Bombyx mori: one gene and its partner. The protein of the gene in region 1 purifies or fractionates together with the protein of each later gene. This does not show direct contact. Links are inferred from orthologs where the notes say so. Each region holds a gene or a part of one and is shown in the gene's direction. Other genes may lie near its edges.

Region 1 (4,541 bases):
CGGATCGGAAACGCGACCCACTGAGAAGATCCGGCGAGAAACTCGGGGGCTGTGTCTGTGGGATATCACTCTGTTTGAAACTGCTATATTCATATCATTTCCACTTTCTACACTAGCGCTATCTTGAGTCTTCCAACAATGACTTGTTGTTTACAGATGAACACTTTTTCAACTTGTCCCATATACAAAATGGTCCTTACTTCTACCCTCAATAAACCAAAGGACGATTGTAGGTGGTTTTTTTTTAAATATCAATTTTATGTTCACAGGAAAAGATGATCTCAGTTCTCTGTTTGCGTCAGCCGAAGAATTCTCAACTCTATTAGAAGACACGGCCGCGAACAAGAAGCAGGGTTCGAGCCAAGCAGTCTCCAACACGGACAATTCGAGCTTAAAACAACTGGCCTGGGAAGATAAAAGAAACAATTGGATCAAGGGATACAACAAAAAGATTTTGGGAAACAATAAGAGCGGGGGGAAATTTAAACACAAAATGGCCGACAGAAAGAAGACGGCCGCTAAGAATTTTGGCGGGAAAATTAAAATGCAGGAGAATAAGTTTGCGGGTAAAGGAAAACGCAAAGGCGGAACGGCGAACGGACCTGGTGGGAAGAAAAAAAGAATGAAATAGTATTAGTCTTTTTGCATCGTAATAAAAAGCTAATAAATGGTTTTTTTTTTTATTATTGTTTTTATTATCATTCAATCCTTGAAATTACTTTAAGCGTTACGGCAGCCAAATTCTCGTAAATAAAATGATACGACTTAAATGGCATATCTGTGAGCACCTTACAAGAGTTTAATGACAGAAGTCATCGCATGGTGGCGGTTTTAAAATGGTTTTGCCTATATGATTTTAAAACCGTCTAAGAATGTGTTACTAAGTCAGGCGTTAAATATAGACTTGTCTAAACATCTATAATACCTAATGCTTAGTGTATTCCTTTCCAAGCGCATTTAAAAAGAGTGAAATCTAATAGGTAGTTCAATGGTGTATTTCATTCATAATCTCGTCTAATCACTTATCCCTGTATCCTAAATATAGCTGCAAAATTTTGCAAAACACGTTCTGAAAATGTTTAATATCTTCACTTTCAATCGATTGAAGTGTGCGATCTGTCATTTTAAACATACGCGGGGAACACCTGCCATCTTTATTCTCGTTGCATTTACAGATTATACACTAATGAAGTTTTATAAAATATAAAATAGTAGTAGGTATTTAAACAAGTATTTATGGTTCGACAAATGAATATTCTTTTCATTTCAATTTGATACCGAATTGATTACTGAATCAGTTTTTACAGACGTCTCTTAAAATCACAAAAAGCGTCCGGAAGTATCTTTTTCTAATAATAATCTAAGTACCACATTCAAATTGGTTGGATTTTACACAAAAGAAATTTTGTTTTTGGAACAAAACGCATTTAAAACTATTTTGTTACAATTCATTATGTTCAACGACATACACATTACGCTTGGAAAAACTTCTATCGATTATAGGTCTGTGGGATTATAGCTATAAGCAAGGTCAAGGTTGAAACCATAATATCAACAAGAGGTTCGACGCGCATCTGCTAACTTCACTCTATTGATATGACCTTGAAAATTTAAAACACTACGTTCAAAACAATACCACGTAACAGATTAATTTAGCACTCAAATAAATAAATGCAGATCAAGAAAACTGTGTTTTATTGGTAATTTTTTATTAATTTTTAATTCCATTCCTGTAAAATTCCAAATTTATTAATACTACAGTTACACAAACATTGTCGTATCTTGAAACTATCTCAGAAATAAATAACAATAATTCTAAATACGACGCACTACGACTCCAACAAATATTTATCTTTGAATAAAACATCGATTGAAGTCTTAATAAATTTAAATGTTACGCATGATCATAGCGAAGTGGCGCTTGTTTGTTGACATTACTACGCCGAGTAGCTACGGCCGTGCGCGCCATCGCGCCGTATCCAACAGTTTTAACCAATAAATAAACGAATTTCACAGTGTTTAAGCAAAATAACTTTGACCGAAACGCGTTTTAGTTGAATCTATGTGAAGTATTAGTTATAACGGACTGTTTTTCCAGTGATTTTATTGTGGAAAAAAAGGCGGGCTATCTGTGCACAAGTGACGATTACTAATCTATTTATAGCCGAACCTGTGTTGTGTTGCATATGTTTTCGTCTCTACAGCTGTTCTAGTAGAATCTTTAATCATTCCAATAAGATTTTTAGTGTAACAACAGAGTTCTAGGCATCCTAATTAGAAATTTTCTGTGAATGGAACAAGGAAAAACTGCATAAACTAGTTTGACAGCTCACCGATGCACACAGACGTAACGCGCATGTGTGCGTGCAAGTGATGTGAAATTCTTGCGATTATCGATTGGGAGATAATTTCAAGGACAAATGTTGTATTTTATACTGCTTCAATTCATTTAATATTTTAAAATATAAATCTACGATCGCATTATGGAGTCGCCCATTGTAGAGACGATGAGCTCAGAGCAGGGTCAAGGCCCCTTATCGGCAGGTTCAAATCAATTGTTTGCGACAGAAAACTTGGATTTGCCTGATGATACGTTTCGAATGGGCTTAGATAACTTTCATTTAATCGGCGAAAACGTGACAGTGAGCGAGAGGGTCACGTCCGTAGATACTGCTAGATCTTCGGTCGACACACCAAGCGTATTGCCCGACTTTAACATTCCTACACCTATGAACACACCGGTCAATGAGATTACGCCCGAAATTTTGCTGCCAATTTCAGAAACACCTAAAATCCCAACCGAGACCATTCGTAAAGCAGCTACCTTACTCAAACTATCGATAGTTAAGAAGGACGAGGACGATGTATTCGTGAAACCTTCGCCGATGACCGATGGCATGTCGCCGGCGAGAATGCTGCAATTCGAAATAGACGGAGCAAACAACGCGACCCCTACCATGAGAAGGGCCGTTGTGGACTTCGACTTCTTTAATAAGAATAAATTCGATGAATACTTCGAAGACACTCGACAGGACGTTAAAATTGCCTCGGAATGTAAAAATGAGGAGACGTTTAAAGAAACTGCAGTTATAACGAAGGCGAACACCGTGCGACACGAAATAGGCTATGGTAAGTAGTATCAAGTAGTTTGTTTAAAAGGTTTCCCCTGAATTTACTGCTAATAGCTTTTTTCCTACCTAAGCTGATAGCCTCGAGAGGCTATCTCAGCGAAACCTGGTGAGTAGGTGAGCTCACAGGGCTCATACCGGGAATGTTGCTAAGACTTGCCCTAGCAAAGGCAAGACCTCGCAGAATCTACCACCAGATCGGAAACGCGACCCACTGAGAAAATCCGGCGAGAAACTAAGTGGGCTGTGTCTATGGGTTAATTTACTCGTCGAGCCCTTCGTCTACAAACATACATACATATCGATAAAGCTAATAAAAGCGTCTTAAAAAAGAGGCATTGGCTATGGGATCTATCGCATTTGGTGTTATTGACAAATAGGTTGCAATCTAGACAAAGTTAAGCCTTGTTTTTTGAATTGGCGGGCAGTTTCAAGCACAATACATATCGCACGATAAAACCCTAAATCATTGGTTTTAAACACGAACTAAATTATATAGAGACAATATAATCGATACGGAGGACCTAGATAAGTCGTCCTCGAAGAAATGTGGCAACAGGTCAACAGTTGACCCAATAGGCAAATTATAAAGCTGGACTATTTAAGCATCGCAGTTTTCAAACTATGTAGGAGTGACGACGATAGACGATTTGAATACCAGTTTAAAGGAAACGAGTTTGTTATCGTTTTCGAAATGCTAAATTTGTGAATCTTGCAGCGGTATTTATCTATGTAGAAAAAAGCGGCAAAAACCTGTATCGTGCTGATGTACGTCTCCAGACATGCATATGCGCCAGAAATTCGCCGTGCAAAAATCACGCTCAGTTTCTGTTTTAAAAACGATATTAAAATTTCTTGTACACTGATGACCATGACGCAATTTGAGTTCTCTGGTGCGTCCCATGACAGATGCAGTTACTCGCTTTTAAGATTAAGCCTTGCATATCCCGGTTTTAAATATGAAATACAAGGACTTATTGAAGTGAACCTTTAGGCACGCTTTCAAATAGTTAGGTCTTTGCCACCGATTCGCAATGCAGTTTCACCGCTGATAACTACCGGGAAGTTACTCAAGTCACGCTATTATCTAAGCGATTAGAAAGATTTTAAACCGACACACAGGCAACATCTCTGTTTCCGTATACAGTCAAACCTGGGTAAGCGAGAACTGGATAAGTGAGAAAACTCTATAAGTGAGAGTAATAGCCAGGACCCGTCATTTTAAGCTCCCAAAACCTCTATTAGAGAGAAACAGAAACCTCTGTAAGAGAGAGTCGTTTTTCCCTCATGGACCTCCGTAAGTGAGACTGCTACTTATCTATACCTCTATAAGCGACAGTCGACCTTTATTTATTTATATTATTTAGGAGGAACAAATGAAAAAACAAATTACAAATTTAACATCTGCTATTT
Region 2 (4,424 bases), on another chromosome or scaffold:
TTTCCTTTTCTCCCCGCACGAATAAGTACAACCATCCTGCTGCAAAGCAATCATGTCATGCGTCATTTCACCTTTGAAACAGGAGCATTTACAATAAATGAAAATGCACAAGCACATGTGTCAAACTGTGCGCTTTGATTTTTATGGGCTCCGAATATAAATAATAAAAGAATATTTTATAATAAAAGAGAATAACGTTTTTTTTTCGTAGCGAATTATCGGAGTTTTAGATTAAACTATGCTTTCTTGTAAAAACATTAAAAATAAATTTTAGAAATATCATAACATGAAAATACAACGTGCGCATTATCGCTATTAATCTTCCAGGCAACCGTAAGATGAACAAAATCATAGAAGAAATAATGATAGCTTGCGATGTAACAATTTAAAATGCTTAATTGACTGAATGAGATAGAAAAATATTAATTAAAATACAGCATTTTATGAATAAATAAATAAATAAAAAGACATAGGTACAGTTATAAATATGTACTATAAAGTATGTAAGTAATAAGAACTATTTTATGACAAGAAGTTATAAATAAGAAGAATATTATAAAAATACAGATTTAACGCTTTTTAAAAACGCTCTATGACGTTTTTTGTGGTAACTAATCATAAAAGTAATGTTTTCTCAACATCCCTTTACAGAATTTTAATACTGAGCCAATCTTGATCGACAAAGGAAGTACATTCCATGGCCGAACGGATTCAATAGTTAACGACTGGTCAAAAAAACTTGAGGATAAGCATCACAAAACGCAGGCTCTTAATTATAACATATTTTGGTAGTTAAGTACGATTGAAGATAATAGTGTTTTTCGATTTCCTCCAAATAGGTTGAAATCGTTCTACCTAGATGGATTTTGTAGCCGCCATTAGTATTTCAAATTACAATTTTAATACTGATGGAGTATTCTTGTTAAAGGTAAAATCCATTCGATATTTCTCACTAGTTATTCTCCCCACAAAATAACGTTATTGAAGTAGTACTACTTTGCGATCAACAATTTTCTTAACAGCTTAATCGGGAGACCCACTGCCTACTCCCAAACAAAGCTTCTAAAATCCCCGGAAACTGACCGAAAACATTAAGCTGACCTCTATAATCTTGTACATTCAACCATAGAGTTTTAGAGTTACATTGAAGCATTATGATCTAAGATTTCTTTGCCTCTCCAAATATCAAATAGAGAAACAAGAATGAAATCGATCAACATGTCATTTTGAAATGTAAGCTTTATGCTTTTATGATAAGAACTATTTAGGTTTAAATGCTTTAACTTGACGTTGACAGATCCTGACAGCTGAGAGAAACCAAACAAAACAAATATCTGCAGCAGCCGACGCCCAAACAATAATTATTTTCAGAAATATAAGGCGTGTCCAGGGCGTGTCGCGCTACCTAAAATAATAGTACTGTACCGCTGATCTTACTATTGCACACCACGACCTGGAGTCATTCGGACGTCCGCAACCAGTTAATATCGCTAGGTTATTACAGATCATTGTTTTTTTTTGTTTTTAACTAAAATTTTACAAACTTAACCATCGCATTTGTTAAATGGAGTGATTTTATTAAGTTCCCATCAGTTTTGGGCAAGGCATCAGTTAACAATGGTCTCTACACGGGGGCTACGATATAAATTCACTGAGGGGGAACGAGTCCTGTGCTACGAGCCAGACCCTACTAAAGCCAAGGTGCTTTATGATTCCAAGGTAAAATACTTCTTTTTTTAAATAATATTTTTTTTAAACAAAAAACGAGGAATCTACCAATATGTAAAAAAACTATATATGTTTTAAATAAATGAAGTAAAACCTTAAGGCAGAACCTTAATTTAAAAATATAAAAAAATCCTTTCATTTACTTGTGAAAATCAGAATCTGTTTTACTAAAGAACATTTAAAAGTTGACCACACCCAAAACTTTCTTTGTATATAATTAATGTTATATAATTACAATTCAAATAATAGAAATATACATAATATGGAAAAAAAAATAAGAGTGCTAGCTTTAAAATTTTTGATGAGAACATAATCCAAATAATGCATTTGCTTTTGGCATCATGTTACTTAAAAAATATTCCAATCAAATATTGCTTTAAAAAGCAAAGAAAGTTGCATAAAATATATTATTTTATTGATAGCCACACCTGGACCAGACTTGAGATGTATAATCTTAAATAAATTAATATATTACTATATAATGATACATGCTCTACATTATTTAGTAACTTTTTCAAAAACCACTTAAACTTGATTATCACAAAGAAACTGAATGAAAAATTATAAAATTTTAACATTTTCTATTATAGAGCTTTTTTTTTACAAACGTCAATCTTAATTTTCTATAAAATACAACAAAATCCTACCTAAACCTATCTGCTCATTATAATTGGAGCAAAAATATAGTAGGAAATGAATTCTTTATATTCATTTCAAGAATTTGCACGAACAAAGCAAACCGTGACCACACCCTATCTGCACATTGGAAGTACAACAACTCATGTGTAGTCAAATCATATCAACATTTTAATGAATATAATAATATGTATTGAAACTGAAAATATTTATATCCAAGTAATATATATTTTGAAAACATATTATAATAAAAAGTGAAATTTCCATTAGAATGTATCAAACAAAGAATTTATAGTATGTCTGTATTTTTTTTTTTGCTTTGATGAGTGGACAAGCTCACACCCACCTGGTGTTAAGTGGTTACTGGAGCCCTAGACATATAAAACGTAAATGTGCCACTCACTTTGAGATATAAGTTCTAAGGTCTCAAGTATAGTTACAACAGCTGCCCCACCCTTCAAACCGAAACGCATTACTGCTTCATGGCAGAAATAGACCGGGTGGTGGTACCTACCCGCGCGGACTCACAAGCGGTCCTACCACCAGTAAAAAAACATATTGAAAAAAAATTAATAAAATAGTGAAATTTCCGTTAAAATGTATTGAACAAAGAATTTATAGTGTGTCTAAGTAAAATACTATTTAATTATATCAATAAATAAACAGGTTCTTGAAGTCGTAGAGAGCAAAGACAAACGAGGGCGTAGAACTGTTGAGTATCTAATCCATTTCCAAGGATGGAACTCTTCGTGGGATCGCTGTGTCAGTGAAGACTTCGTTCTCAAAGATACAGAGGAAAATCGACAGCTGCAACGTGATTTAGCTGAAAAATCACAGCTTCAGTTGTAAGTATTCATCACTACATAGTATAAAACAAAGTCGCTTTCTCTGTCCCTATGTATGCTTAAATCTTTAAAACTACGCAACGGATTTTGATGCGGTTTTTTTTAATAGATAGTGATTGAAGATGAAGGTTTATGTGTATAATAGCATCCATTAGATAGTGGAGAAATCAATAATAAATTACAGTTTCCGAAGCGAAGCGAGGGCGGGTCGCTAGTAACACTTCAATGAATCTTTAATATGAATAAGTTTAATAAGTCGTTATAGACAATTTACTGTATTCTTATGCATTTTAGGTCTTAACTACTAAAATTCCTTTTAAAATTAATTAAATATTTTCCGATCAGAATTAGGCCTATAACAATTCTTATTTCTCGATTTCATGTCAATCTATGTTTTAACAACAAAAAATCGATTTTCGATACATAACATTTGAACATTGTATAAAATTTCTGCAGTTCATTGTCTGCAACAGCCACGCCCTAGGCAACGCAAACATCCCCGTTAGCTATTGCGCATGAAACCTAGCCACGTAGTACATACCTATAGACCTACGTACCTAGACATATATTAAGCGTATAATTCGAATACATGATGGCGTGTGTAATGAAAAGTATAATTTATTTGTATCTAGGATTTATTGTTTATTAAAAAACAATAAAAAAAATTAAATCCGCATTGTGCATCCTGATTTGCAAAGTGAATATTCCAAACAAAAAAATGCGTAATTGTAATGAAAAACCTTTGATTTTATTATTTTGTGAAAAACTATAGAAATAAAATTATAGAATTGCATCGCAGTATTATCGACATTGGGGTTTTTTTTGTTAGAGGGGCTTACTTGTACCGTCGGGAACGAAAGAAGGGTGGTAGTACAAGCGCCGCCGGGGCGGGGCCCGCCAAGCGCACCCGTCATGGCTTTAGCGACGACGGCTCTTCGACAAGTACCCAGCCAGACGGTAAATATAACCATAATCTATAGCACACCTAGGGGGAAGCGATCGTTATTAGCGTTCCGGAGAGTCTGCTACCTCAACATATGTATACCTATTATTTGATTGGAAAACGGCTATGGGGAGGGAGACTGTCTGTTGCAACTCTATCGGATTTTCGTAATTTAATTGGTTGTAGCTTCGTTGAACAATGATCGAAGGCTTGCAGAAATAATGTTATTATTAAATTTTTATTAAAATAGATGCAACACAGATTTTTTTAAC

What was found.
Region 2: the proteins of ribosomal protein S6 kinase alpha-5 (region 1) and Msl3 purify together in Drosophila melanogaster (affinity purification with western blotting; 4 studies listed by BioGRID, with this or other methods). This does not show direct contact. The link is inferred for Bombyx mori from reciprocal best matches to the Drosophila melanogaster genes JIL-1 and msl-3.

The regions. Positions count from the first base shown.
Region 1 is NC_085130.1:7,261,955-7,266,495, forward strand, and holds the start of ribosomal protein S6 kinase alpha-5, read left to right. Parts: upstream 1-1,684; 5' UTR 1,685-2,483; coding exon 2,484-3,129; intron 3,130-4,541. Other genes in the region: CCAAT/enhancer-binding protein zeta, read left to right, coding at 270-631. UniProt on the Drosophila melanogaster protein: Phosphorylates 'Ser-10' of histone H3. May regulate gene expression by establishing or maintaining the structure of more open chromatin regions. Also required for normal polytene chromosome structure, for oogenesis and for viability throughout development.
Region 2 is NC_085113.1:6,781,044-6,785,467, reverse strand, and holds the start of Msl3 (male-specific lethal 3), read left to right. Parts: upstream 1-1,395; 5' UTR 1,396-1,617; coding exon 1,618-1,719; intron 1,720-3,030; coding exon 3,031-3,209; intron 3,210-4,038; coding exon 4,039-4,166; intron 4,167-4,424. UniProt on the Drosophila melanogaster protein: Component of the male-specific lethal (MSL) histone acetyltransferase complex, a multiprotein complex essential for elevating transcription of the single X chromosome in the male (X chromosome dosage compensation).